Linked DNA regions of Alligator mississippiensis. The protein of the gene in region 2 purifies or fractionates together with the protein of the main gene of each other region. This does not show direct contact. Links are inferred from orthologs where the notes say so. Each region holds a gene or a part of one and is shown on either strand. Other genes may lie near its edges. The genes, in order: RAB6B, SLC12A6, STK39 and LGALS3.

The links.
Region 1: the proteins of SLC12A6 (region 2) and RAB6B purify together in Homo sapiens (affinity purification with mass spectrometry; 4 studies listed by BioGRID and IntAct, with this or other methods). This does not show direct contact. The link is inferred for Alligator mississippiensis from reciprocal best matches to the Homo sapiens genes SLC12A6 and RAB6B.
Region 3: the proteins of SLC12A6 (region 2) and STK39 purify together in Homo sapiens (affinity purification with mass spectrometry; 3 studies listed by BioGRID and IntAct, with this or other methods). This does not show direct contact. The link is inferred for Alligator mississippiensis from reciprocal best matches to the Homo sapiens genes SLC12A6 and STK39.
Region 4: the proteins of SLC12A6 (region 2) and LGALS3 purify together in Homo sapiens (affinity purification with mass spectrometry; 3 studies listed by BioGRID and IntAct, counting the BioPlex papers as one, with this or other methods). This does not show direct contact. The link is inferred for Alligator mississippiensis from reciprocal best matches to the Homo sapiens genes SLC12A6 and LGALS3.

The regions. Positions count from the first base shown.
Region 1 is NC_081830.1:30,392,725-30,399,877, forward strand, and holds the start of RAB6B (ras-related protein Rab-6B), read right to left. Parts: upstream 3,081-7,153; 5' UTR 2,995-3,080; coding exon 2,925-2,994; intron 1-2,924. UniProt on the Homo sapiens protein: The small GTPases Rab are key regulators of intracellular membrane trafficking, from the formation of transport vesicles to their fusion with membranes. Rabs cycle between active GTP-bound and inactive GDP-bound states.
Region 2 is NC_081830.1:36,384,409-36,392,200, reverse strand, and holds the start of SLC12A6 (solute carrier family 12 member 6), read right to left. Parts: upstream 3,261-7,792; 5' UTR 3,124-3,260; intron 2,595-3,123; 5' UTR 1,693-2,594; coding exon 1,449-1,692; intron 1-1,448. Other genes in the region: NOP10 (H/ACA ribonucleoprotein complex subunit 3), read right to left, coding at 5,998-6,138, 6,618-6,671.
Region 3 is NC_081827.1:214,961,856-214,969,722, reverse strand, and holds the start of STK39 (STE20/SPS1-related proline-alanine-rich protein kinase), read right to left. Parts: upstream 3,086-7,867; 5' UTR 3,005-3,085; coding exon 2,833-3,004; intron 1-2,832. UniProt on the Homo sapiens protein: Effector serine/threonine-protein kinase component of the WNK-SPAK/OSR1 kinase cascade, which is involved in various processes, such as ion transport, response to hypertonic stress and blood pressure.
Region 4 is NC_081825.1:293,160,747-293,167,955, reverse strand, and holds the start of LGALS3 (galectin-3), read right to left. Parts: upstream 3,303-7,209; 5' UTR 3,218-3,302; intron 1-3,217. UniProt on the Homo sapiens protein: Galactose-specific lectin which binds IgE. May mediate with the alpha-3, beta-1 integrin the stimulation by CSPG4 of endothelial cells migration.

The DNA.
Region 1 (7,153 bases), about 6.0 Mb from region 2:
GAAGCTGATGCAACTGCTTCAGATTCTCAAGGCTTTCTCTGTCTCACATCCAAGTGAGCTGGTTTATTTGCAGAGAGGGGATTTATCTTGAGAGAAAAATAATAGTGATCTGTACACAAAGGTGTGCACACGCATCTCGGGGAAGTGCCTGCAGCAACAGAACGTATCCTTTCTCTTCAGGAACCTTTCTGCTGAACACGCTCTTGATAAAAGGATGCCTGGGAGAGACAATGAGTAGCCTAAACTCTGAATAAAAGAGTAGGCCAAATAATGCAAATTGTTAGGTTCCTCTAATAAACTCTTACAGTTAGGAAATCTGCAGATCTGAACAGCAGAAACACTGCCATGATTTTGAGGAACCTCTTAAGAAAAAAAGGCAATTATGGAATCAAAGTGAAGTTTGCAAACGTTAATTTACCAAGCAGCCTCCGCCCTCCTCACTTGTATTCATCTTTTCTATAAAAGAAAACAAACACTGTATTGAAGAAGATAATCATGTGCTTCTCTGCACATCGGTATTTTGTTTCAAGCTGGTTAATATTACCAGTTGTAAATCAATATATGGTAAGAGCACTCCCACGACTTTTTCCCCCCCTCTAATGATGTAAAGCTGGGGAAATCAATAATGCTGGGGAGGTGAAAGGCAAGGTGATCAGATACCATGGTGATGGCAACCAGACAGACAAAATGCTAGCAGTATAAAAAGGACCGTTGTGATATGCAGATTATCAGCCTCAACATACCAGCTGTGAAGGTTTCTTCAGTGAACCTTTTCCCCCTCTTACAGACAAGCAACACCTTTCAAGGTAACGTTCTTCAGCTTCTGATCACAGGCTGCCTTTGTCTGGAAATGGCTCCGCACTGACTGAACGCAGCTTAATGAGCTTGCCCCCCACCCCGTTTCTTGGAAATTCCACTCTGGGGACATGGAGGGTGGGAAACGTTATTGAAAAGTGGTCCGGTTTCAATTATTGCTGGGCTTTTGACAGCAACCAACTGTGGGTTATCAGAGGGTTATTTGCTAGCCAGAAAGCAGCCAAATTGGCTAGTTTAGGATGTGGTATCTGCCATCAGAGGGAGAAATACTGGAGCCTACATACTGAGGGGAGTTATTTCACATGGAAGGGGGAGAATGAGCAAGGAGGTCTAGACAAGGCTTTCTCTTGGGGAAGAATATGTGGCTGGCTACTTTCTCTACTCAGTGGCCAAGGGCTAGCCCACTCAGAACAGCGTTGCTAATTAGAGGAGACAGGCTGTATTGTCAGCACCATGGATTGATTAGTGGAAAAACCTACAATTTCAGAGACTACAGTGGAATTTTTGACCGTCCACAGCATCGACATAACTCGGCACCCAGTCAAGTCAATGAATAAATGACCAGTGGCTTCAATAAGAGCAGAATTAAACCAGTGCTGAGCATTTGGAAAAATCCTGCCCTCTGGGTTTTCAGAGCTAGAGAGCTCAGACAACACGTCAATCTCAATTGCCCGGCCCCGGCCCCTGCCCCTAGGCTGGGAACATGCCCCTGAGCAAGGCAACTGAGTTGGAGCAAGCCAGGGAAGGACCATTTTAACAGCAGCATAAAAGTTGTCAGGAAAACAGCAGAAGTGTCAAGCTGTCTTTTCTTCTCAATTATCCGGCCAGCCACTATTGGGCAAGCAAAACATGGAAGCCCAGGGCAGGGAGGAGAGAATAATCAAAGGTTGTGAGCACTGACCAGCAGCTGGGGGGTTCTTGTTTTGATAAAGGCAAATAAGAGATTTGACAGTGGTTTTAAAATGCAGCTCTGTGTCTGTGCATGTGGAGCCAAGATCATTTGGTCCCTGCTCTATGTGACAGCATATTCATCCAGCACCTCCAAAAATAATTAAAACTGCTTAGCTCTGTGTAGCCTGTCACAGCACTCCTAGCTATGGCAGGCTGGGGAATTTGCCTGCAAAGCTACGGGGCTGTATCTCGTCTTCTATGGAGAAGTGCATGATACGCAGCTGCTGAGAAGTTGGTCTGCTTCCCTGCCCTTGCCTTTACCACAACCAGAAAGCTAATGGGTGGATTCTCCTGTGGGTATTTCTGTATGTCCTTCCCATGAACGCCTGTCTACCTGGGAATCCTGTATGCAGCTTCCATTAAAGAAGGTAGCTGAAGCTGAAGAAAGGGCATCCTCTGCACGAGGCTGCCCTTGGTAAGGAAGAGCTGACACAAAAAAAAGCAGCAAAGCAGGGAAGAGAGGAGGGCACTGCAGAACGGGCAGGGTGGACGGTCCAGCGATCTTTTGTTCCAGCACCCACGCCTGGAAAAGCCAAGCCCTGCCTTGAAGAGAAGGCAAATGGAGATGGTGCCAGCTGCCAGATCTGGACCAAAGAGCACCTTGCAGCAGATGCCAGGGGGGACCTCCGTGCCGCCCGCCTTCCCTCCCTGGTCAGAGAGGCTGCGAGACAGGCGCAGCACCGCTTTGCTTTGAAAGCCCCAGCAACCCGCAACAGAGAGCTGCAGGCTTGCGACCGACCGGGCTCTCGGCCGCCAGCAGCTCCCCGCTCCGGGCGGCTGTACGCCGGGCCACCCGGGACCTTATAAAATAATCACTGAGCCCCGCGACTTTCCGTGTTGTCGCCCCTTATAGTCTGCAACCAGGCGCCTTTCGGGGAGCCGCCCGCGGCGGGGAGGCAAGCAGGCGCGGCTCGGTCCTGGGGGTCCCGGGCGGGCTGCGCGGGACACTGCATCGCGTGCGGCTCCGGCTCCGGCTCCGGCTCGGGGGGCAGGCGGCGGGGCGCATCTGCGCGGCCGGCCCCCTCGGGACACCCACGGGGTGCTCGGGCGGCCCCAGCAGCGAGGCTGGCGCGGCTCGTGTCGCGCCGGGTCCGCATCCCGCGGGGTGCTCCCGGCTCCCCGGGGTGCCGCAGCCCCCGCCCCGCCGCAGCACTCACCGCTCTGCTCGCCCAGAAACACCAGCTTGAATTTCCGCAGCGGGTTGCCGAAGTCGCCGCCCGCAGACATGGTGCAGCCGGGGCGGGAACGGGGACGGGATGCAGCAGCGGCTGCGGCTCGGCCGGGGCCGTCCCGGGCGGGGATGCGGCGGCTCCGCCCGCACCCGCGCCTGCGCCGTGCACCGCCCTCGGGGGGGGAACGGGACCTGCCCAGCGCCCCCCGGCTCCGCTCCGCTCCGCCCCCCCCGGGACCAGCCGCCTGCCACGCGGTTCGCCACCCAGAGGGACGCGCCTTCCCGCCGGGGCTGCCCGAGGGCCGGGCCGCCAAGAGCAATGGGCCGAAGTCCTGGGGCCACGATGGACAGACCTTCCCGCTCCAGTTTGGCCTGCTCCTTTTGACCGCTTCGGACAAAGATGGACGGACGTTCCTGCTGGAGGTTGGCCCGCTCCTTTTGACGGCCTCAGACAAAGACCTAGGATAAAGATGGACAGAAATTCCTGCTGGAGGTTGGCTCACTTCTCTTGATGGCCTCAGACCAAGAAGGACAGATGTTCCCGCTGGAGGTTGGCCCACTACACTTGATGGCCTCGAACAAAGACCTGGGACCAAGATGGATAGATGTTTCAGCTGGAGTTTGCCCCATTCCTCTTGATGTCCTTGCACAAGGACATGGGACCAAGATGGATTCAGAGTGGGATTAAAAAAAAAAAAAAAAATGGCGTTGCTCTTGTCAAGACCCACGCCTGCCTGCCAGACCCGCAAGCTGCGATGAGACGGACATGGAAGAGCACAAGCAAAGATGGTTCATTCCTAGCTTCATCTTCTGTTCCCACTTCATGCCTATAATGAGTGACTGCAAGAAAGGAGAAAGAAAATAGTCTATCTCCCCACCTCAGCTCTTTCCCAGAAGCCATAGGATTCTCTCCAACAGAGTATTGTCAAGTGCTTTGTTCAGTGTAATCTCAAATGACTCCAGCAACGAGACTTCCACCATATCCCCTGGGAAGCTCTAACACAGTTTAATAGACCTCTCAGTTAGGAATTTTTCTCTTGATATTCAGACTATATTTCCTTTTGTTCAGCTTCATGCTATTATTCTTAATTAAATCTGGTAGGAGCATTGAAGTTTCTCCAGTACCTTACTGCTTACACCTCTCAAGTACTTGCAGACATCTATCAAAGCTCCCTCAGTCATCATTTAAATAGGCCCTTTTATTTAATGCATTAATCTTTCCTCACAAATTGGCTGCCACAGCCCCAGAATCCCAGTCCTGGTCTCAGAAGGCCAATCTCCTTTTTTCCATGATATGGCACCTCGGGTTTACAGGACAAATGTGCCCTGCCTCTATCATCATGCTATTGTTCATATTGAATTTTCTGCCCTCTCTCACAGTGAGATCCTTTAACCAGTTCTACTTGCTAGCTGGATTCCTCCAATGGAATATTAAGATTTGGGATTATTCTCCCCACTCTTCTGAAGTCAAATCTTTTCTTTCCTTTCATTTCTATACTTTATTTCAAATTCTGTAGGCTCCTTTCTGTTCCTCCCTTGTCCTCCTTTTGCCCGGTTTTGCTCCTAATGAAAGAACATTACAAATATCCCAACTGAAGTGGAAACTATTCCTGTATACTTCTTCCCACCCAGACGTATTTCTGCTTATTGTTATCCTGCACCTACATTTCTTCAGCCTGATTTTTCATTCAAGTGCCAAATTCATTCCCAAGCACAGTGTTAGTTATAGGGAACCACAGACTAACAATGTTCTTGAAATGGACATGCTTTTTGGGTTTTTTTTAAAGATGTTATAGGTTAAATGAAATCAAAAGCAAACAGGACGAGCCAATATATAAATCTCCAGAGATCAATGCTGCTAGATCACAGATTAATTTCAACCATCTTGTTTATTCACCATGGATGCACTTACAGTTTTCCTTACTTCAGTATTGCTTCCCTTACTTATCAGGGGTGGGATGACATTAAGTTGATTTAGAAGGGGAAAAACTGGCATGGGTTGGGACTCCACCAGTGACTGCTGCTCAAAGTAGCCCTTCTTTCCCACCATGACACGTGGTCGTATTAGGGCAGGACACCCCAGTGCCACCTAGCAAAGCAAGAGCAGTGTGGTGGTCAGAAGGAAGGGCTACCTACTGGTGTGATATCAGCAGACAGGGGTGACAGCTGCCCTATATCTCTCTTCACCAAGTGCCTTTATCAGTGGAACAAGGCTTTATTTTCAGACTAGTTAAACCAAGGCCAGGCTCATTGGTGTAGTAAGAGAAGTCATAGTTTAGAGATGCTTCTTAAAAGGAGGCTGAGGTAGTTAGGGATTGGGAAATGGTCCCTCAGTGAGGGAGCAGCTAGCAGTTAGTTCGAAAGAGACAAAGCCAGAGGTTGCCTACTGCTCCACAATTCAAGTGTATGGTTTAGTTCTTCTCCTTCACTGTATGCCTGTGCTTATTCCACCCAATTCTCACTACAGTTGGCTTGATTTTGCTGTGCCTCTTTGTTCACCCTGTCTACCAAGGAGAAAGGATAGGTACAGAAGCCAGGTCTCTAGAGCACTGGTCCAAGGTCAGGGTTGACGTGACCTTGGACTCTCTCATCTAAGATGCAACTCAGTCCTTCCCACTTATATTTTTTATCTCTTCAGCATAAGGACCATCTCAGCTGGGCATATGCATGGAACACAACAATATGGTCTTGATTTTGGTTGGGGCACATGCTCACTGCCATACCAGTAGGGCAAGGGCTCCAAATTGTGCACCAGGCCCACTGGAGTTTGGGAGCACAGGACAACATACTGCAAATTTTCTGTGCCTGTCCTTTCACAGCATCTGATGAAGCGAGTTTGGCCTCACAAAAGCTTATGCTATTTATGTGTGCATCTGTTCTAGTTAGTCTCTAAGGTGCAAATCTTTACCTTCAGCACACTGCAAGGGCACTTCCTGGAACCGACTGCTTAAGCCAACACATTAAGTCCTGAGGTTGTATGTGCCCTGTGAGGAAACAAGAATATCAAAGATCTCTGAAAACTATAGCACGGGGGCCTGTTTAGTGCCCTCAGGGGATATGAGCATAACTCTGCTGGGAAAGAAAGCCAGACCATTTTTATCCATCAAAAGATGTCTATGTGGCTGATTGTGAAACTCCACTTGTCTACTGTGCTCTTTTAACCCACAGGCTGGTTTTGCTGCATCCAGCCTACGTGATGCAATGGATGCAACAAGGTGTTCTTAAGACACACAACTTCAGTCCAAATGCTCCATGCTGGCTCCAGAGAGGAATCACATTTGCATCTCCATGTTCACGTCAAGACCAATGTTGCATGGAGGCTGAAAACATTGTTGAAAGCACTCGTTAAAAAGGCATGCACCTTATTTGCATGCCAAAAGCCATCACCCTCTAAGGTCCTTTGCTGTTGACACAGCTGGATGCAAGACCAAAAAGGCAACATTACCAGAAACAGTAAAACTTGTCAATAAGAGATCGTTAAAGAAACAGCAGCTGGAGACCGTCAAAATAATACAACAGCAATCCATTCAGTGACTAACAAGATCTATGGACCAACTGGTTAAAAAAAAAAAAAAAGTAATAAAAGCCACACACACTAAATAAGAAACATTTTTAAGGGAGTAAAAATTAAAGACTACATTGCTCCAGTAAAGCCATACCACCATTTTCCTTGTTGCGGGGTCTCTGAATGAACAGAGTGACTGCATTGTATATACTTTTAATGGACTGATTTCTGGATGCAAGCGTAACCCACTGGTAAGTAATGGCTCTTTGTGCTTAATCTACAGAGACTCTGCAGGTAGAGGGGCTTGGCTCTTTAGTTCAAGCTATAATAGCTCATGCTTTACCTCTGAAGGTCCCTAGTATGCTGGGCAAGATGGCAACTATCATCTCACATACAAATGAAGGCAAAGCACAAACAGCACCAGCTGGAAAAGGGCATCTTCAGTTTTTTTCCCTCTCTGCCCGAGAAAGTCCTTCACTTCTTTCTCCCACACTTCAAGGAATGTTCATCCAAGCACCACCCCCCCCACAGTTCTTTTTGGATCAAGTACTACTGGAAAGACTTCCCCTTAAGGCCAACAGGACCATCCCTTCACTGGGGATAAAGGTGGGTGAGGCACAGGACATGCTTCTCCATAGTCCTTTGCTCTTAGACTTCTTGAGCTTGGGCTGAGTTCATGGGTTACTGATCCGTGAACTTGCTCATCATGC
Region 2 (7,792 bases):
GGCTTGCTCAAGGAGAATAAGAAACAGCAAAAGACAGCTCAGTGTTACCATTGTCTCAGTCAGAGATGACCCTAGTGTTCCCTCTGTGGCACAAGGAAAAATGTGTAAATGAGGACCCAAATGCTTGTGACCACTGTAGAAGACCTCCTGACACTTCGGCCAGAGTGCCCCAGGTCTAAAGACCCACCTCTGCTTCCCCTAAATCCCACTTTACAGTTTCAATGCAACACAGAGTTCTCCTTTGCTTTCTTTCAGGTTTGCACCGGACAGGGCAGTAGCAGGTCAGCTTGGGTGCTAGACACAGCATAACCATGTCAGTGTGATGATCCATATCCCTGGTAGATGTACCCAAGGTAATGTGACTGGTAGACCAGTTGCCCTGCCTCATTCCTGATTTCCACATTTTGGAACTACCCGCATATAATGCTGCTGTTACGCTGCTGGCCCACCTAAGAAGACAGATGCATTTCATTGTACATATTCTTTAACACCAAAAAGAGGCACTCATCTACCTGCAGTATCATTATGGCAGCCACAGTGCCTAATTAAGAGACTCAGGATTAATAGCTAAAAAAAACCCCAACTCATAACTTTTATCTAAAAATCCCAATAGAAGCCATGACTCTTAGCAGCCAGTTATGGCTAGATTTTCAATAAAAAGGAAGTCAACACAGTTACAGGAAACGAGATTCCCCTAAGTCATTTCCCCCGGGCTTTATACAGCATTTCCCAATATAGGAAAAGAGTCTGAAGAAAAGCAGAACCAAGTTTAGCTGTTCAGAGTCAACACCACAAATGCACTGAAAATGCAGACTTCACATGGCTATTTCTATCTTCAAGCAGGGCGTCACCTCACTAATAAAACTGAAAAGCTCTAAGTGGGCACCCATTCCCAGGAAACACAAACACAGTGCCAGCCTGGCCTTTAATGCAAGTATTTTGCTCTTCCATGATATTCCAGGAGTTTCCATGTGGCCAGAAGATCTGGTGAGATGCCACTACCTATGGAGAACAGTCATAGCAACATACCATCCACCCTAAATGTGATCAACTCTAAAGCAGCCATCAGTTCAAATGGATACAACCCCAAAGCTCTGAAAGAGCTCACTGCATTTCCAACATACCAAGAAGTGGCCCTAGTGTAGCTGGAAGAGGTCTGCTATTTCCAAAGGGCCCACAAAATAACTAGCAAATGGATGTACTAAAGGTGGAGCTGTTGATCAATCTCCACTGCTATCATAAAACACATGCCTCCACTTCCAATGTATGCACAAACTGAGGTGGACAGATTCTACATCCCCACAGAACATCCTCCTTTACTGCTAATTAATACAGAAGCAGTCTCCCTCTAACGTCCAACAGAAGCCCAAGCCAACCCAGAAGCATTAATACCATCCATAACTTTCAGTCCCCTCATTCGCATACATCAACATCTACATCCTTCTTACCTTCTGTCACATCACGAGGGTTGGATATCTTATCACTAGCTGGATCAGCTGCTACCGTAGCCAGTGATGTAGTCGCTACAGAGAAGTCACTCATGCCCTCACTCCGGGTTGTCTCAGGAACACTCTCCCGGGAGCTGAAGCGAACCCGGGAGCTAGAGCGGGAGCTGAGGTCAGGGCTGGTATCAGAGAGGCCTGGGATGTCATCGATTTTCGTAGGGGTCACCATGAACCGGACAGAAGCCATTGTGTAGCTACTGTGTTGCTGTTGTTGGGAGGGTGGTGGAACAATCTAATACATTCCTGGAAATGTTAAAATTATGATCATCCAGAAATCTTAATAAATAAAAAAGAAGTGATAATTTAAGAAGGTAGCAAAATGAACTGCATAACAAGAAGTTCCACCATACAGCAAATGCATGTCTACCATGGATCTCCTGTGATCTGCTACTATGTGGTGTCCAGACACCTCTTGATTATCAAGTGAATTTTCCATGGGTGTGGCTAAGAAGGGAGTGCAGGGCTTGACCCATGGTTTACCCAGTAAATCAATCAACAGCTATCTGATTCACTCAGTGAGCTGTTTGTCAGAGTTCCTGATTTGAAACTGTTTGCACAGATAATCCGTTACTATTACTACTCTGCAGACTTCCAGTGCCAAAACAGGCAAGAAGAAACTTTCACGTCCTGATGCAAATAATTATTTTTTGGGTAAATATCCAAAAAGGGATTTGGTTTGAAGAGGGGTCCATTGGTTAGAAACATGTGAAAGTGCAAAAAAAGACAAGAGGTTTCACCAAGTCCTGGTGCAAAATGTGCGAAGAGACCAAGCAAACCAAGTGATCCGAGCACGAGGAGGAGAATCACTGACCGATTTCTGGTGTGGCGAGCAAGGACAGCGAGTACGCCAGCAGGTCCCAAAGAGCACTCTGTGCTAATACACCTTGCACTTTGGATGCACCAAAAAAGTGTGCTGGAAGGTTGAATATCCCAAGTCCTGGAGTAGGACTGCCACCATCCCTCAGGGCTCTGGCAGCTGAATATCCTCCCGCCGGGCAAAAACTCTTCCACGCAATGCCCACGAGGTCCCCGTGACTCAACGATGCTCCAGTTCCACCAGCTCCCAAGGTTAACACAGCTGGATTTTCCCTAGGGTCATGGGACAAGAAGGTTGCTATTAAAGAGCGCTCGGTCCAAGGAGACACCAGACAAGGCCTCACCCACACTAGCCCACAGTATTGGGATGTGCACGCCCCCTCCAAGCTCAGTGCCATTGCTACAGCAAACTGGGGCAGCCCAAGGATCGCCAAGCCAAGCCAAGCCAAACCAAACCAAGCAAGGGTCAAGGTGGCAGGGCAGGGGGGTGGGGCAGCATTAAGCCTGGGGCCAACACTGCCCTGCCATGCGGACCTGCTGCAGGGGCCAGACAGTGGTGGCAAGGGGATCCATGGCAGCACATGGCCTTGCAAGGGATGCCGCAGCTGCTGCTCTGTAATGGGGAGAGACAGGCACCTGCCATTGAGACGGGGCGACAAGTTGCGCATGCGCAGCCTGCCACTAAATTAGGGGAACGGGAGGGGGTGAGAACGCTCAGCTGCGCATGCGCACCAACCCTGTACCCGTGAATAGGGCCCCCCAAAAAAGGCGGGAAAGGCTGTTAGGGGCCGCGGTCGTTTACCTTGGACCGGCGTCTGCTCCCGGAGGCCGCGCCCGGGGAGGAGGGAGAAGAAGAGGCTGCCAGGTGCAAGGGCTCTGGGGCTGGAAGAGTCGCACTTCACCCTCCCGCCCGCCACGGCGCATGCGCACGCGCAGGCACCGGCTCGGCGGGGCGGGGCGGGGCAGGCCGCGGGGGCCGCTGGGAGTTGTAGTTCGTGACCGGAAGGACTCATGATGTCTTCTAGCCTCCCATTGAGGTCAGCCTCAGCAGGAAGAGCGATGACGTAGAGGAGTGGGGAGCAATGAGGGATAGGGGCGCAGCTCAGCGCCCTTCCCTTCATGATCCCGGGGCAGAAGGCTGTGTGTGGCACCTGGCCAAGGCCCTGGGGCCTCCGTGTCAGACCAGTGGTCCTGTGTCCTGCAGAGCTTGGCTGTCCCTGCTCTGTGTCCACCTGCTCTGACAAAGACCAAAGGCCAAAGGCTCTGACAAAGAGTCCTGGGACTCTTCTGAGGCGACAGCTGATATTTGCACTTGCAAACCAGGCACCTGCCTGTCCGCCTCCCTGGGCCCGGCTGAGTCCTGGGTGCTGGTGCCTGCGCAGCAGGCCCAGGATTTCTCAGTGGTTCGGGTTAATGAACATCCCCATCTTTGTGGCCTCTCTGTATAAATTATGACACTAGTGACTCCCTCTTTGGCACAGATCTGACAGTGCTGGGCTCTTTAAGAGGCCTCTGGGTGGTAGGCACAGCCCAAACTTTCAGTGACCTTTATCCATCACATACTTCAGTGAAAGTATGCTGAACTCTCTGCTGTCTCTGAAATGAGTAGAGCTGATTTGCAGCTAAAAGGAAAAGATAGAAGTGGGAAGAAGGATTATAATTGCATTCCAAGCTGTGGTAGGGAAGCAGTATCTAGTTAGTAGTTACTGCTGGGGTCCAGAAGTCATGACTCCTAGGCTGCAGCCCATGCTGTGGGATGAGCCTCTGACGTCAGGGCAGGGACCTGGGAGGGCACACCTAGATTTTATGGCTGGCTCTAGCAGGGGAGTAATATCTAGTGGTTAAAGCAGCAACAGGACAGCTGACTGGGTTCTGTTCCAAACTCTGCCCATACAACATTCTTTCATCAGCCACAAATGAATGGACATTGATTCAGTAAACTCCGATTTAATCTCTCTCAGTGCTGCATAAAATGGCCTTTTCAGCCATTTCTAATCCCAGGTTAAAGGGAAAACGCGGAAATAAAAACCAACCTACGTGTTATAGCAATGAGTACAGAAGCCTCAAGTGCTGGCAGTCCCAAATAGGTCACAGCAAACAGAGGTGTTAACAAGGCAGCCCTGCACTTTTGTTGGAGAGCCCCGAGGCCCCAAACTGCCCAGCGCTGGGTCTCATGACATTCCTTCTCCGGGTAGACTGATCCCAAAAGCAGTCCAGTCTGAATCAGTGATTAGTATGTGAGAAACAGGATAGTTTTAAGTGTGTTGAGATAGCTATGCAAAAGACAGGGATTTCTTAAGGTGAGATCTTTAATTGGTCCAATAAAAGATCTCACCCTAAGAAATCCTTGCCTTTCGCATAATTTCTGGACCATCACAGCTACATCACTCTTACACTTGAGATATCTAGGCAGGTGATAACACCAAGTGATGACTCCAGGTAAGAACAGCAGTCACAGGTCAGGACTCAGAGCTTCCTTGCTCCCTACGTGATTGGCCAAGACAGAGTTATCGCAGAGAAATGGGCAGGAATACAGAAATTTGAATCTGAGCTGTATAAAACTCCTCCACACAAAGGCATTTGTGTGGGAAACTGGAACTTGCTTCAACTATAAGGATGGATTCTGAGGGCCCTCAGAGCTCGCTGCTTAGTACTGAGTATATCTATGTATTTTCTGCTGCATATAGCCACTATTAGTAATTTTGATAGGTTGATAATATCCCAATAAACTGGTGCATCATTCAAAGGAACTTGCTTTGGGTTGTCTTATATTTCTCTGGATAAACAAGAGCCCCCAGAGTTATCATGGGTGTGACACCTTGGGCACCAGCAACGCACAAGTCAAAGACAGCGGCTAGGCTGCTGGTGGCATGGCGGGCCAGCATCTGTGGTAAGTATTATTTCTGCACTCCTTAAGTGGGTGCTTTAGTTACACTACTGATGCCAGTCCTGAATGCCAAGCTAAGCAGCTGAGTGGTGCAGTGCTGGGATACTAGCATTCAGTATCTTTCCCTCTCAAATTGAGCAGCAGAGACTCAAGCTTATTCTCTTCCATCAAGCTTGCAGTCTCCTCTCTTTCACTTTGTAGAATCTTCCCCACCTTTCCTGCCATGCGGCCCAACCACCTGATCCCATATCAGACCCTGAATGCAGCTTTCCCCCACATCTAATAAAGGCCATCTCACATTTCTAATATGATGAATATGCTTCCCTACTAAAACAATGAAAGCTTAGTCAGAAACCTTCCCTTGTTATGCTTAAGTTCCTAACACAACATGAACATCTGCACAGCATGAAACAAATGAGTACAGCTTCACCACTACTAGAGGGTTAAAAGCTCAGCAGGGAAGGAGAGTCTGGGCTAAGGGTAGAAATAAACATCAGATAATTTATTGGCAATCAAAAGACAAACCATGTTTTCAACTACAGTGATTAACTCTGGCTTGATCAAAAGGGGAATCAAAGCAGTTTTTCCACAGACAAGAGGAGAATGGGGAAAGGTTTTAGGATGTGTTTAGGATCAGCAGTCAGATCACAAGGAGAGGGATAAACAAAGGAGTGGAAGATGAGTTGGTGCAGAGGGAGCCACTGAGCCAGCTTCAGCTGAGCAGGACTGTCCCATTTCAGGGCAGTCAGGGGCACGTTTCTGTGCTTCCAGCTGGGAAAAGGCCTGCCCTCACATAATGGGCCGCGGCTGCTGTGTCATGAGGACGCCAAAGCGCTTCTTGATGGTGACCCGGTGGCGGGAGTATTTGTCATCTGGGGAGAAGCGGGCAGGATGTGCAGAGGAAGTCACTTGGCCAGAGGGGCTTACTTTCTACAGGGAAGGAAATGGAAAGAGATGATATCATACCAGGTCACGGCAACTGGGTCCTAAAATACAAATACCCAAGTCTGGCCACCCTGACGTCCCCACCCCCCACGGCTCCACTTTTGTGCTTCACTCACTGCCACCTCCTCTCCCAGCTCTGAGCCTCCACCCAGGTGGCGAGGGCATGTCACTCAACCCCCAACTCGCTGCCCCCCCAAGCCCTGAGCTCCACGGGCACAACTCTGCCATGACTACTCAATCCTGACCCCCAGGTCCCACCCCAGCCCTGGGGCACAACCCCCCTGCCCCACCTGCCCTGGGCTGTCCCACTGCCTGCCTCCCCCGACCAGGGGGATGCAAACCTGCACCCAGGGGCAGAGCGACACACGGCCCCGGCTGCACAGGACGTGCGCGGGAGGCTGGAAGAGATCTTGGGGCAGATAAGGGAAGGCGAGAAAGGTCCCGGGGCTGCGGCAGGGGCTCACCTTGAGGGTGTACACCCGGTCCCCCTGCTCGTTGAGATAGTACTGCAGGAACATGGCTCCGGCTCCGACCCGGCCCCAGATCGCAGCCGCACACGTGCTCCCAGCGCGCCCGCTCCCGCGACTGCCAGCGGGGACCGCCCCGGCGCACGGGGGGGGCGGGAGCTGCGGCCGCCTCTCCTTCCCCTCCCCGGGCACTCTGGGACTTGTAGGAGACGCCGGTCCCGGGCAGCCCGCCCAGCGCCCCGTTTCTGCCTCAGCCTCTGGAAATACGTTGTGCTTGGCCAGGAAATGAACACGCCAAACCAAGCTGCAGGTCCTCCAAACGCGGGACTTGATCTGCTTGCCGAGGGTTTCTCCAGGGCCTGAGGTCTTGGTTGTAGCCGTGTTGGTCTAAGGAGCTAGGCGGGTCCTGCCCTTTGTCTTCCAAATTTCCAGCTCTTTCCTTTTGTACAGACAGCCTCTTTTCTGCCTTGTATGACTGCAGTCTCCCTTATTCCCCTTTGGCTCCTTTACTATTGCTTCCATCCAGGAAGAGCACACACCAACTGCAGATGCTTCCTCAGCCTGGCCAAGGGTAAACCTGAAAGCTTGCAAAGAAGAATTTTTCCAGTCAGTGGTGACAGACAGGTAGAGGGTGCATGGGGGTGCACGTGCCCCCCCGAGAGCGCAGGTGCACCCTCTGACAGGCTGTGCTCACCACTTCAGTGATGGGTGTGGGGGCAGGCCGGAGAGCAGGTACCCCCCTGAAAGCACCAGCCAATTGCTGCAGGCTGCAGCACAGCGATCGGCCATCACAGGAACGGCTCCGGGGGCCCCCCCGGTAGCGAGATCACCTTTGTGGAGGGGGGACTCCTCCCCCACCCCAAGTTGGTAGGACTGGTCGTAGGGTGGGGCACGTGCCCCCCCTCCACAAAGGTGGCACCAGTCGCCCATGTCTCCAACTATTTGAGCTGGTCTAATAAAAGATATCAGATTTACCCAAAGAACCTTGTCTGCCTGCGTCCTTAGACCAACATGGCTACAACCTACACCCCCTTACTCACCTTTGCCCCCCTCCCCCCACCCTTCCCTGCTTTACCTTTTATTTTCCTGATTTCTACCTATTTACGTTCTCACTGACATCCCGCCACACTTCTAGCTTCTCTCATTTCTTGGAGTCTCAGAACAGCAGAGAC
Region 3 (7,867 bases), on a different chromosome or scaffold from region 2:
GGGCGGGATGCCGCTGCATGCTTGGGGCCGGAGCTGCTCCAGCTTTTTCCCAGTGGCTGCACTCAGGCTGGGCAGGGCAAGCAGCAGCAGTACTGGGAGAGGGGGTTACCGGGCGGCTAGAGCCACCCCAAAACTTGCTGTAGCCCTCCCTCCTAGCACTGCCACCGCCCACCCGCCCCGAGTGCACCCACCAGGAAGAGGCTGGAGCAGCCCCAGCTCCAAGCATACCATGGCAGCCCACCCTCACCCCACGCACAGATCCAAGGGAACATATGCCTTCCATGCCTCCCCTGGGGGTGGGCGCAGCAGCAGGAACCGCCCCCCCCACATGAACCACCAGCTCTGTCCCACACCCTGACCTACCCCAGCTGGGCAACGCCTGCTCCTGCCCCAGTCCTACTCCCTTCCTCACCACAGGGGTCTTGATCTGCCTCTATGCCCCTTCTGCCCCTCCCCTTCCCCCCCAACAGACTTACCAGCCGGTTGCTACTCTCCAAGCTGCCGGCCTACACTCCTGGCCGCATACATGCTGCGGCTGCACTCATGTACACGGCATTTATCTGTGATATTATCAACCAAAAAAGACGAATGCCAATAATGTAAATTTTCCTTTTATTGGTGCCGATATGGACCAATATACTGATATACCTCTAGTTATTAATGTTATATTATTATAAAATTATATATTAATATTTAAAGATTGGCATGGAATCCACGTACAGACAATGGAAGTGTCAGAAGTCATTTTTATTGTTTAAACAAGTAGCTTCGGTCATAGCAGTCCCTTGTCACTTATGGCAAAAAAAAAAGGAGAAGAAAAAGAAAGAAATTAGCAATATACGAAACTTCAGTTGAAAGACCTATTTTGCTCAGCATGGTATTTTTATATTTGTCTAGTATGAAGTATTACTCATTGCATTTAGAGTAGAGAAGTCATTGTAACTAACCGAAACTTGGTAAAACGCTCCTATGAACTTGTTGATACTCAGCACAGGGTAGGAGGTGCTCAGGACCTGACTGGATGAGGTCCAATAGAGTCCAAACTTGAGTTCCTTGCTGGGAAGCCACCCTGATAACGTATTTACTAATCATATTGTAGCTCAATACCACCCAGTCAGTTAGCAGGGAGGTCTGTCTATAAGCAGTATCATCTCTACAGAAAAAAAGAAAGTGCATCCTTGCAATTGTGAATGTTTTTAAAAAAATCTAGAATTTTAAACTTCTGAAAGCTCTATAAAAGTGCAGAAAAGGATGATAACCATTCTTTAAAAAGCATGCTGCAGATTCCAGTGGTAACACAGATAAGAATTATTTTAACATTCTCTACAGCAGCATTTCTCGACCCATGGGTCACAAGAATATATGAAAGGGTGATGAACAAACTTTAAAAATGGATTTTCCTTTCAAAGAGAAAACCATGAGAAACAGTGGCTTTCCCTTGCAGGATGGCAGAGTTCCAGCCTGCTAGGGGCTACTTGGGGCCCCCCATGGCCAAACACTGGGGGGGGTGCACTGGGGCCCAGGGGTGGGAGGCAGCAGGTCAGGAGTGCAGGGCACTGGGTCATCGATGTTTAGAAATGGGTCCCAGTACAGAAAAGGTTGAGAAGCACTGCTTTAAGGCTTTTTCTGTGCCATAGGCTTTGCTCCTTTAGCTATACCAGCAAATCCTGGCATTGGAAATGCAGCCTATACCAGCAAAATAAAAAGTTCTTACTCTAGGCTAGATAAGACCCATTCGCAAAGCGAAGTAAACTATATCCAGGCAAAATGAGTTGTTTTGCCAGCATAACTGCAGAAACCCCAGCAGAGATGTGGTGGAGAGCTCTCCTAGCGAGGGGCCTCCCTTCTCCTAGTAACACACCTGCACTGGCAGAACTTTTACGGCTAGACCAAGCCTCAGACTTGTCCAGTCACTAGAATAAAGCAGGAAAGGGAGTGGGCGTTTTAAACCAAGCACTGGCAAAACTTGCAAAGGAAAAAATTTTATTCTTCTCAAGACTTGGTTTCAAACGATGGGAAATAAACAGCTTCAGGACCCAGCGCTCACTATTTACAACGCAAATCGATAGCGCATAGTTATGGCTGTCATGCGTTTGACGAGCAGCCATCGGTTTCCAATATTAAAGATAACCCAGGGCAGCACAAGGCTCCAGAAATTTGGGAGCCGAGCGGATCGTGGCCTAACTCAGGAACAGCGCGTGCCGTCCTGGGTCCGGCCTCGGACTCCTGCAGCCTTGGTGTGGGCTGTGCACAGAAAAGCAAGAGGTTCCCTGCGGGTGGGGAGGGCCGGGGCCGGGGCCCCCCATCCCAGACCCGAGGAGCCCGAGCGCTGCACCGCGCCCGGCTCTTCCCGCCTGGCCGGCCAGGCAGCTCCGAGGCGAGGGGGCAGGGCGCCGCCCGCACCGCGTGTGGGGAGCCGGGCGGGTGACAGGAGGAAGGCGGCTTTCGCCGAGGAGAAGGAAATCGCCACCACAGCGGCAGCGGCGCCGGCGGCGCGGAGCCTCACCCGCCTCCCAGCCCCCGCCGCGGAAAATGCAGAGTAATCGGCGCGGCTCCGAGAGCGGCCGCGTGCCGGGCGCCAGGCAGCGGGGCCGGGCCGGGCCGGGCCGGGCCGGGCCGGGCAGCAGGGAAGGGCATAAGTTAATAATGCCGGGGCCGGGGCTACACTGAGCCGCCGCCCCCCGCGCCCGGCGGCACCAGCCCCCGATAAACTTTGCCGCCGCCGCAGCGGCAGGGCCGGGCGCAGCCGCCGCAAGGAGCGGAGAGAAAACGCCGGTAGGCCCCGGCGGCGCATCCCGCCCGCAGCATCCCCGCCCCGGCCCCGGCACTGACCGATCACCTCCTGCAGCTCGTAGGCGTCCCGGCAGATGGGCCAGGCGGGGGCCTGGGCGGCCGGAGCGGCGGCGGCAGCGGCGGGGGCCGGCGCCGAGGTCGGGGCCGGGGCCGGAACAGGCGCGGGCTGGGTCGGCTGGACGTGCACGGGCGAGTCGCTCAGCTCCGCCATGATGCTACCGGAGTGCACGGGCACCCGCGACCTCCTTCAAACTTCCCTTCCAGCGGCACGGCACGGCACCGCTCCCCGCCCCGCCCCCTGCCAGCAGCCGCCGCGCGGCGGAGGAAGGAGGCAGGGCAGCCGGGGGCAGAGGAGGGAGCAGCCGCAGCAGCCGGCACTGAGCACGAGCCCCGCCAGCCAGTGCATCGCGCCGGGGCGGGGCCCATGCTGCTGCTGCTGCTGCTGCCCTCCGTGCCCTGGGCTCTCGGAGCTGCTCCCGGCTCCTGCGGCCTGCTCGTACCCCCGCACCCCGGCTGGACGCTCGCCCGCGTGTGTCGCTGCGGCCGGGGGTGGCTCTGCCTCCACAAGCAGCCGCGCTCCCTGCCCGGCCCCGGGACACCAGCGGACCCGCAGGAGGTGGGGTGCACGCCTAGGCCTGACTTGCCTGATTAGCGGGGTGTTTTCCCCCTGAAGAGATGTTTAAATAACGTAAAGTCTCTTCTACTGTGTTTTGCTTAGGATTGGGGGAGTTTAAATACACGGAAGAGAAGCAAAAGTTAAGCGTGTAGCTGAGGTTTTGGTTCCACCATGGCCAAGTTCATACACGAAGGGGGAGCCGGCCAGGACTGAGGAGCAGGGTGCCCTTCGATGTGGAGGAGGCCTGTCGTGTCACGGCAAGGTTGGGAAAGGATCAAGAAACTATCTTGCCAAGTAGAGGAGTAAAACAAGAACTGTAGGAAGGGGCTCCACATCTAAGGGGATGAATAACCCCTTAAGGAATAAGCAGGGGGTCCACTAGAAATGGAGAAAAAGGACCTGTTTATTAAAAATAAATCAATAAATGTGTTTTAAAGAAAAGGTAAGAGCTGACAAAAAGGATGAGGCCACAGACAGATGGTTGATGACAAGATTTTAAAGGGGAGAGAGCAGAATCTATTTCTCAGAAGCAGATGTCAGCTCATCCAGTATAACTCTCACCTGTCTGCTCCTAAGCTGCCAAATAAGAGGCTGTACCAGAGTAATTTACCCCTGAATGAAACCTAACTTTTGCCAGTTTAACTTCACTGATTGCTATTGGGAGGAGATGGATACAGCAGCAATACTGCATTCAGCCGTACCACACAATCCTTTCTTACTACAACTCCCAGACCTTTTAAAAAGTGTAACTTACCTGTCCATACACTGATTTAGACACAAAAAATAGGTAAAGGTACTTTACTCATATAATAACAGAACAGAAAGAAGCAGGGCCAGTATACAATGAAGATAGAGTAGAGATTATGGATAATTTGGTATGTCCAAAAACTAACAAATGTTTGGCCTTAGGTTTCAGTAACAGTGATGTTGTTGGCCATAGGGGGAAAGGCAAGATGGAGAATGAGAATGAGGCTATGAAAATAGAAATTGCTACTACTGGGTGAGAAGAAGAGGTATAGATGTTAATGAATTGGCGGGGGGTGGGATAGTCTACCTCCTAGATACCCGAAGGAACAGGCACACGAATTTGCAAGTCTGATAACAAGCAACTGTAAAGGCAGTTGGGGTAACTTTCAATTGGAGAAAGCAAATATAATATTTCTTTAAGAATAGAGATATGTAAGTCTGACCTCAAGTAAAGACCTTGAAATAAAGAACAATGATAAGTGGCATGGATACAAAGGGGAAATTGGATGGGTTTAACCAAAGGTATATTGGGTTAGACAACTGGATTGGACTAATTTTTTTGTCATATAGTAATGGTTTCTAGACAAGGAAAATGTAGTCGATCTCTCCTCTTTGGATTTCAGTAACGTATTTTATACATTGGCCTCTGGGAACTTAAGAAAGGGAAGATGAAGATGAGTAGGGGAATTGTAAGGTGGTTAAGGAGCTGCCTTAAGGAATGACTACAATGGATAGTGTTGAAAGATGAAGTATCAGCTGAAGGCATGTTAGTAGTGGAGTTCCTTCATGATCAGTTTTGTTTAGTGCTTTATTAATGACTAGCACAAGAAATAGGAGCATGCTTATAATCTTCAGGACTAAAGTACCAGATAGGGGATGAAAGTCAGAGTCAATAATGCAGAATGTAAGGTTATGCACAAAAATGAAGACTTCTGCTATAAACTAATTAAATAGGACTAGAACAGGGAAGGAGGTGAGTGTTACTAATCAATTACAGGATAACTGTGAGCCCCCAGTTTGATACAGCTGTTAAAAGTCAAATATGATCCTAACTTTTAATCAGCTGAGTTATTTCCAGTAGGGATAGAAGAGTATTAAATGTGCACACTGTTGAAACAGTATGGACAACCAGAATTGTGCTTAATGGTCCAGATGTTGAGGATGAATGAACTCCAACTGGCACAGGTGCAAAGACAGACTTCTAGAAGGATGATAAGGGAATGAAGGCTCTGCCTTAAAGTAGGCAACCAGAAGAACTTGGCTTGTTTAGACCACCACCAGGGCTGAGTAGGGATATAATGGGTCTGTAACAGTGGTTCAACCTTTTTAGGCACCCCTCAGCTCTTAGCTTTCACTTGTTTGGGTTTGTTTTGTTTTGGTTTTTTTACTACAGCAAAGAACTCATAAATACCACAGCAGGTTAAAATACTTTTAACACTATGGATTCCATGTGTAGGTGTTTATACACCTTGTAGCACTAATACTGAGCAGCACCCTTAAAGGGTTTTAACAGCACTCTGATTGAGAACTGCTGTTTATAAATACATCAGGGTATTCTCCAGTGAGGGAAGACAAGAACTACCATATTTACTCAAAGCTAAGATGACTCTGAATGCAAGATGACCCCCCCCCCCCAGTAGACTCCATATATGAAAAATTTATAAATGTTATAATTTTCCAGGTGTTGTGGCAGTTCTTCAAAGATGAAGATATTAGGAAGATAAATGCCCACTCTGGTTGTAGGCCCACTGGTGAATAATCAGTCCAGTTGGAGAGAGGCAAATCCTGCTGCAACAGTTACACGTGTATGGCTGATTGCTACTAGATCTTTCCTCCTCTTCTCAATGCTGGCTCTGCACTGACATTCAAAAGGAGGGCTGTTGCCTTTTTGATTTGGATCTGCAGTTTCTGTTTCCCACAGTTTGTGGTCAGTAGCACAGGCAAAAAGAGGATCTCTTCAGGTGTCCTAGAAGCACTTGTGTGGGGTCCTTCTGTCATGTTTCCCCAGTTGTCAGTTCCCCATACAGCATGGCCTTTGGTAGATGTCATCCATCTGGGCCTCATGGCCTGCCCACTGCAGCTGAGTCTGCAGGAGAATTGCCTTGCTGCTGGTGGTTTGGGCTCTTTGTAGCACCTCGACATTGGTGACATAATAGCAGCAGATCTTGAGAATGGTGCAGAGACAGCACTGATGGAAGTGCTCATGGAGGTGTACATGGTGGTGATATAAGACCCATGACTCAGCACCATTCATACAGGAGGATGGAGATAACAACAGCTCTGTATGCCTGAACTTTGGTCTGTGCCTGTAGGCTGTAACTGTTCCAGATATGCTTGAAGAGTCTGCCAAAGGCACTACTGGCTCTTGAGAGTCTGTTGTATACCTCCTTGTCGATCATGGCATCACATGAGATGACACTCCCCAGGTAGGTAAACTGCATGACAGCATTTAGCTCAGTTCCTTTGATAGTCATCTTCAGTGGCACATAAGCTTGGCGTCAAGCTGGCTGATGAAGAACTTAATTCTTCCTCAAGCTGATGGAGAGTCTGAAGATTGCACTTCAGTAGCAAATGAATGAAGTAGTCATGTACTGTAGATCATGTTGGGTATGGGGCACAAACCTCTGAAAACAAGAGTTCACGGATGAGCTGTGGAAATCAATATAATAGAATCTAATTATCAGAGGGTCATCTTAAATTTGTCCCCATTCCTGCAGCAGGGAAAGCAATGGCTGGGATGAAGAGGAAGGGGGGAGACAAGGGGGCTGCTTAACTTCTGCCCCACCCACTTTTTCCCCCCTGCAGCCTTCCTGCCTCCCCAACCACCTGCATCCCCCCCATTCCAAGCTCCCATAGTCTGCCTCCTTCCTGCCCCTTGCTGTGAGACGCTGCTCAGACTATTAGAGCGCAGCACATGAAAGATCAGTCTTTGATGGGCCATCCAGTAGCATTGGCACTGCTGGTTGGCTGGGCAGTGTCAGGATATGGCCACCCCAGAGATGGCTGTGATGTCCCTAGGGCACCGTGACCGTGCAAGCTCCGCCCTACTAATCTCACCTGCCACATCTTGCTGTCATAAATGATGGATTGGGAGGCTGCCCTCAAGTTGCTGCTTGGTCACAGTACTAACAGTCTCCCTGAAACCCTGTAGGTTGCTGGACCCCTTTATGGGGTCCCACACTCAGGAGGTGTCCTACAATACCCACAAGCCTTATGGGCTAGATGCGTGGCTCCAAAATCACTTCTTTACCACGCCCCAAACCTCGCAGACGTTATACCGACGTTGTCTGCTTGAGTTGAGGCCTCAGCTTAGTCCAGCCTCTATAACTATGCCCCTTGGCACTAGGGTCTGCTCTCCCCCTTGTCACCTCACACCCTGGCACTGGGGTCCCCACACTGTAGTGGGCCCCCAATGAGGCCTCCTCCTTCCCCAATAGCCTCAGCCCAGTCCACCAGCTTATAAACAGAAATCAAAATATGAGCCCCTAGGCTATAACATAATGCAAGCAGTTCAGGGTGTGTCCCTTTAAAAGCATTAAACCTCTTCCACTAGCACTAAATGCCTTGCAGGCCAGGGTCCTTGGTGAACTGGAGCCTCTTAATCCTACCAGAAGTAGGACTGGCAATCAAACAGCTCCACTTAGCTTCCTCTAAGAGAGCTCCTTCCCTCTTAACTGCTGACAGAGAACTGCCCTCTAGTCCCAGCCCTGG
Region 4 (7,209 bases), on a different chromosome or scaffold from region 2:
GCAGTGCGGAGCCCAGCACAAGCTGCAAAATCCACACAACACCCTGGTAAATACTCAGGCAACAAGCCCAAGCTGAGCTCTACAATACCATGGTTAGACTCCTAGCAGCAACCAAGCAAGCTAGTTTTAAAACTAGATCAAGTATATCTACATGAGCTGCAGTCATACCTCTGGATTTCAGTATAGACTCATAATCATAGGGTTCACAGGGCCTTAGGATAGACCACAAATATCTTGTGATCTGAAGAGTTGGGGGAGTTGGCAACAGCCCTCCGGACAAGAGATTTCCTAGTGCTGTGGCCGATGTTAAAAGGTGTTAGCATTAAGCAGCCCTTGGGTTAATATTATGTGGTCCAAGCAACATCTCCAATCTTCTCATAACCACAGGAATACTGTGTTTTGTTATTTTAACAATAGCTCTGGAGGGGCAATAGTGAGCTGTTGTCTTCTTCAAGAGTCACCTCCAATTTGGAGGTTATCTATCACCACCCTCCATCTTTGAGGGTCGGATGGCAGAGCTGTAAAACATGGTCTCTCGTGGATACTACTCCATCCTTCTGATGTAGCTACGCTTATTTTCCTCCTCTTTCCTAGTTTTCCTTCCATCTTGTCTCATAGTATAAAATGCAGGAATTGAGCCATTTAGTGATGACCGGGGTAGGTGTCCACAGAAAGAGCTTTTCCTTGAATCATGTATTTCAAGCAGCCGTGCTCTTTCCAAGTTCATCTTTCTGCACAGGTCGTCACTTGTGGGTATGGAGATCCGGCTGATTTCCAAAATTCTTTTCCAGCCCCAGAATTCACAGGTCTGATTAACCTCCTAGTGTTTGGTTGTATTTTTTCCAGTGTCCAGCTTCCAGAGTCAACCACGGGGGGGCTGGCCACATCTAGCGTGTCAGGTAGATGTGTAAAATTACCTTTCCGTAACGCAGAAGACAATGAAGATACAGAATGAACTTTCTGCAACAATTACTGTTTTCATTTTTCTACCGCATTTCCCATCTGATATAGGCAAACCGCCTAAGTACAGAAACTTATCAGTATGCCTGCAGTGACCCAAGTACAGAAACGTGTCATCCCTTGCTGTCTAGACAGAATCTTATACTTTGCTGCATTTTCCTTAACTTCCTTGTCTTGCTTTTCTTAGCATTAATCATCATTCCACAATTCTTGATGCTTTTGTTCAAGGCACTCAGCATATTCAGTTCTGCTCTAGTTGAAGCTCTGTGGCCCATCCTACGGTGTTATATAAACTCCATTAACTCAAATGACCTGCTTGTTATCTTCGAAGCCTTCTTTAATGGTACCTTATGCATACATGGTGAATGGGTACAGAGATAAAATTCAACCCTGGCAGATGCCTGCCTTTATCTTGAAATACCAAATATTTCATGTCTTACTCATATTGCCCTTGGTACAGGCTTTTTTGCCAAGAGGAAATCTTGTGAGCTGACACGGCAGTCTATAAGAATACACGTCAGTTGTCATGCGGGATCTTACCAGATGCCATCGCAAAAAATCAAAGCATAAAAGAACTCTTTCTACTCATTGGCAGAGTGTTCTCCCAGCGAGGATTGTTTCCTTCATGCCCGCTCCTGAGAGGGAGCAGAACTCACTTCAGCTGGTTTGCAGAACAGCAGCAAACGGTCTCATTAACCCTTTGGTTTCAACAACACCAGAAGACAAGGGTTTAAAACACTGTCTCACAAGCACCAGAACCATTCATAAGGGTCCACTGTCAGAGACATCTCCACTTTTACCCCTTCCTGCCCTGGTCACATTCTCCCTTCTAAGGACATGTAAAAGTGAGAAACGGCCAGTCAGCCTGTTACCTACTCGGTATAAGAACTGCTAGAAACAGCACGCCAACCCACCAGCTAGGATAGTCCGCTGCTCCAGCTCTGTGCATGTGCGTGTGCATGTGTAGGCCAAGGGATTTGCATGCATACATGTGCGTGCAGGTAGGCAGGGGAGGGAGGGTAAAGCCTGAGGACAAGGGATTTGTGTGCAGACATGTGTGTGTGTGTGCAAGTAGGCTCGGGAGGGAGGGTAAAGACTGAGGACAAAAGGGATTTGCGTGCATACATGTGCGCGTGCGTGCAGGTAGGCAGGGGAGGGAGGGTAAAGACTGAGGATAGGAGGGATTTGCCAGACAATTTCATTGAGGCTTCCCCAGAATATTTTCTTTTGGGCTGAACCTTTCGATGCTCAGTCTCAGACATTTTTATCTTAGAAAGTTTGAGGTGAGTCTCCACCAGCTTTTGGAGGGGAAATAAAAGATACTCTTCCTGGGCTTGGGGGTGGGGCAGGGTGTTCATGTTATATTAGCTACCAGTTTTTTTTTTTCACAAAAAGGACAGACTTAGCCCACTATCTTTCTAGGGCACTGGCAAAGTTTTTAAAAAGTTTACGGCCATGTTCAGCAAAGCAGCCTTGCCAACACCACAGTATCAGGGGTTTGATCTGCAGGTCTGAAAAAACACCCTGGCTCTATAGGTGTGACCGGAGGAACTGAGCTTAAGTTTTAAGCACAATTCGTGCCAGATCCAGTTGCCCAACCTCATTGTGCCAAGTCTGTCGCTTCCTCCCTTGTTAAAAAACAGTAAAGAGAGCATTACGTATGCAACCCTGAACCGACACCATTCGGGATCAGGTATGCACCCCTAAGCCAGGAAATTCAGTTCTCCAAGCTCATCCCCTGAATGGAAATGTGTGCCAGGACTCGGTCCCAGCGTCAGTCGTAACTCAACCTTTCCACCCCCTTCCCCGCAGAAGCCCGGCATGCTCCTCGCCAGGTGCGGCCCGGAGTCTCTCCCTGGGGGCGGCGGGACCCTGGCTTGATGCAGCCTTGCCAACTCCAGCGATGTTGGGTGTTGTTCTAAAGTCTACGCTTCCAGGGTGCGAAAAACGGAGCTCTTCCTTTTATGCCTATGTATATAGAGAGATAGGGATCTATTTATAGAGCGACAGATAGGAGAAAGAGCTAAGTTTTTCGCACTCCGGGAGCGCAGACTTTAGGAACAAGCCCAGCAGCAGGAGAGCGGGCAGCGCTGCTGCTGGGAGGGAAGACCGGGGACGCTGGAGGGCCCCGAGGCTCCACACCTGGCTGCCCGTCCCGCAGCCGCGTGCGGGGCCCTGCCAAGCCCCGTGCGGGGGTAGCGGAGCCGGCCCTGCCCCTGCCCCTGCCCCTGCCCCGCGGTGCGCAGCCCGCGCTCACCTGCGTGCGGGGCTGCAGCGGCTCCGGCTGCGGCTGCGCCAGTGCGCGGGCAGCGGCTCCAGCAGCCTCCCCGAGCCGGGCAGGGCGGGGCGGGGCGGGGCGGGGCAGGGGCAGGGCGGCCCTAGCTCCACCTCCCCGGGGAGGAGGAGGCTCCGCCCGGGATGGGGAGGTTGGTGCGGGGCTCCCCTCTGCAGAGGGAGGGAGCGGGGCAGAGACCCCGCGCAGGGGCCGGGGCTCTGCCCCTTCCCCGGGGGCTTGGCCGTGACGAGGCTGGGGGCTCCCCCAGCACGGTCTGCCCTACCAGTGGGGCAGAGGAGGCTAGGAGCAAGGGGTGCGGGTTGCTGCTCCCACACCCCCTTTTGGGAAATCCTGGATCTGCCCCATCTCGTCTCCTAGCTGATCTCTGAAGGTCCCTTCCAGCCTGACTTCTGTGACTGTCCACCAGGGCGGCAGGGCGAGATCCTTCGAAGGGTGTCCAGGGAAGTGTAAGGAGATGGGCAGGGTCAGGGTCTCCCTTGCCTGGCTGCAAGGAGGCAAGACACAGTAATAAATACACTAGTTTTTGAAACAGGGTGCTGCTCAGTTCACTACAGTTATGGAGCCGTGCCTCAAGTCTGATGAGGGCTGCAATGAGTCTAAAAAAGGAGGAGACCCACTGCCCTAGATCCACCCGGTTCAGCGCTCCCCCCTCTAAAATATCCACCCCCGCCACTCAGAGACAGGCCTATTGGATAAGTAAGGAGCAGTGGGCCGAGGCCCACCGAGAAAACTGCAAGCCTCCCTCAGTTGGGAAGGCACAACAACAAACTTCTTGGGACAAGAAAAGAGAAAGGAGGGTTGGGAGTGCCAGTCTCAGGGTAATAGCAAGTAGGGAAAATAGTAACAATAGCAAGTCAGCAACGAAATACTGGGCTGGATGGACCAACTGTCTAGCCCATAAGAGCTTATGTTCTTATCCCTGCAGCTGTGGGAGCCTTTCCCTCTGCCAGGCCACAAAGCCCTGGGCAGAGTTCCCTCCGCCCTGCAGGACCGGTGCAGCTGCCTTACTTGCTGTGGGACCCAGAACGGGTGCAAGAGGCCGGGGGTGGGAGACGGAGCAGGATCCCCATGGGAAGCCCAGAACATGCAGGTACCTTCATGCAGAGAAACTGCCTCCCTCCAACCTCAGCTGCTTGAAGACGTGGGGCTGATGTGGCTTAGGGCTGATACCGCTGACATCAGGGCCCCAGAGGAAGGGACAGCTGGGTCAGGCAGAGCTGAGGTGACTCTGGTGGTATCCCTCAGCATAGGGAGTACGGTTGGGGATGTACACAATTTAGTAAAGCAAGTTTCCTTCAGCATTTCTTGTATAGGAATCGGTATGCAAAATGGAACAGAAACCAATTTTTCCTCTAGATTAATCAGCTTTTGCTTCCAAAGTCCCCATTGGCATCTCTACATACAGTCTAGGCTGTCTACTGCTTAGAGGCCTCACTATTACCCACAACTTCATGGTCAGAGTAGACTAAGAAAAGCTACGTTCAGCCTGTGACCAGCCTACTTAGCGCTCACCATTGCCTTCAGACGCAGTGACATGTTCTACTGTATATGTATGGCTTTACATGTACAGATTTTTTTGGGAGTCCCTATGGAGGACTAGAAAACCTCCTATTTTTCTAGTCCTCCATAGGGACTCCCAGAAAAAAAATGTATTGATCACTAGGCCTGCTTTTCTCATGTGAAAAGTGAAAAAGATGTACAGCCAGCACCTAGGCCCCTTTCACTGGTCACCAGAACCCAGTGCTTCTTCTTTTTCAGGTCATGTCTCATGCTGTGCAAGATAAACTGCATCTACCCAAGCAATGATGCAGAGTAACAAAAGAAACAGTGTGCCCTGCAGCCGTCTCAGAAACTCCCTAGGTCTGTGTATCAATAGCTCTTTTCCAGCTACACTAAGGATTTCAAATACTATGGCAGAAAAGTTAACTGAGCACTCAGGTAGAGAGATGTCAGCATTATCCATTGGCTCAGGTGCAAAGGTTTGACATAGCAGACACTGCACCTTGCCTTCTGGGTAAGCAGGAGGGGAGCCGTGGCAGTGGAACCAGCATGACTCCAGACACTAGGGATTTAATGCAAAGGGGAATTCGGACAGGGGGTCCATAACCTTTGAATATCATAGAGCTCAGCTCTGTGCGGGACAAGTGCGCTTAAAGGAAAGGGAGCAAGGAGGTGGAAGAGATGGGTTGGGGCCTTTACTGCATGTTAATCACCTGAAAAATGAGCTCCAAGTAGAATATACATCCCTAGGACTTTCCTTCTGTGCCTGTTTAGTATGCAAAGTTTACCTAAAACTGGGAACAGGTTGTGCAACCACTAGATGTAGGTAACCTGGTCTGGAATAGCCCAAAGGCAGGCATGCATGTGTGATTGTTCCATGCATAATTAGGAGGAACCAGCTACATAGAAAAAAGAACAGACAAACAACTAGATTTAGAAAAGAGCTAGCAAGTTTCCAAAGAACGCGACTGAAGCGAAGATAAGGAATCATTGCGTGCCAGAGGGGTGTTTTATTGCAGGCCACAACAGACTTGTCTCTCTCTGCTACTTGTTCATTGGATTTCAAGGCAGTCGAGTTGATCACACAAGGCAATAGACAACAGAAAAAAAACCAGACTCTAGTACTGGATTTTTATGTTTTAAATTTATAAGTGGAAAGATACCATTAAAGACTTAGAGATATATCTCTGGGGGAAAAGGATAACTATCTGTTGCCAGACCGACACACTCAAACCTGTTGGGTCCGAACTGAGGAATTTCAGTGCTACACCCCCAAGTCTGGTGGGTAGAACTTCATAAGGCCATGTACCAACTCCACGTACCAAGAAGATTAAGCTGGAAAAGGAAGGCAGCCTCTTTAGTATGTGCCTGGGTGGCAGTTCTGCTGCTAGCCTCTTTGCACTTCTTACCCAATTTCTCACTGCAGTGCAGATCAAACTGAAACGTCGCGGCTCACTTCAGGAATATTGACACACAGGGATGCTGGAGTGGATGCTTCTTGCTGACCATCTCCCTGGGTTTGTGTATACTGCAGCCAGGGAGCTTTGCTACCTACTCATGAGCAGGAATTTTCCTTAGCACATTTGCGCTCTCTCTATGCACAACCATGGTTTTGCAATAGCTGTGATGCATTCTCGGCTGATCCTGTTATAAGTGGGTGTTGTGGCTACACAATGACTTTTTTTTTTACAACCTGGCACACCCATCCACACTGTTTATTTGCACTTGCAGCAAAAAGTCCTAGAAAAAGGAGGACAGCTGCCCCATAGTACTTAAGCAGGGGGGAGGGTGTCAAGAGGAAATGCATGGAGAATAGCACAAGAAACACACACACATAGCAACACCATCTTGGGAAGTGCAGCAGAACCAAGAGCAGCCAAATAACTGCAACAGTAGGGAAGGAGATGCTGCAAAACTACGATGCCGTTCCAGCCGAGTAGGAGGAGTGAAATGCTGTCAGCTACTACTGGTCGGCTCTGATCCAGGACAGTGCTTTAGTAATTGTTCAAGAGATTTCCTAAATCAGGACCTTTCTGAGCAGAGATTACCCCTGGTCCAGGTGTTCACAGGTTTGTTTAAAAGTCATAGTATGCACTAGGTACTGATGCTGTGTATTCCTCCTCTCTGCTGTGTATTAATGGCAGCTGGTCCGAATGTTTCAGTCCATATTTTTTTGGCTGTTTCTGTCCATACTTTTGACAACCCCCCCCCCCCCCCCAACATATAAATGGAGAAATCTTAAAGCTATTTAGGATTTATTTGAAAATCAAACTGCATGGTTCTGACAACTTTAGGTTTTTAACCAAACTGTTCAGGTTTGGGGGCGGATGCAGAAGAGGGTCAATGTGAATCTAAAATAAGCTGAAGAAAGTTTTTGGTGAAAATCAGAATCTCAGCTTTTGGTTCATTTTCCAGATATCTAAACTAAGCAGCACTAAACAGCTGCAGTAAAT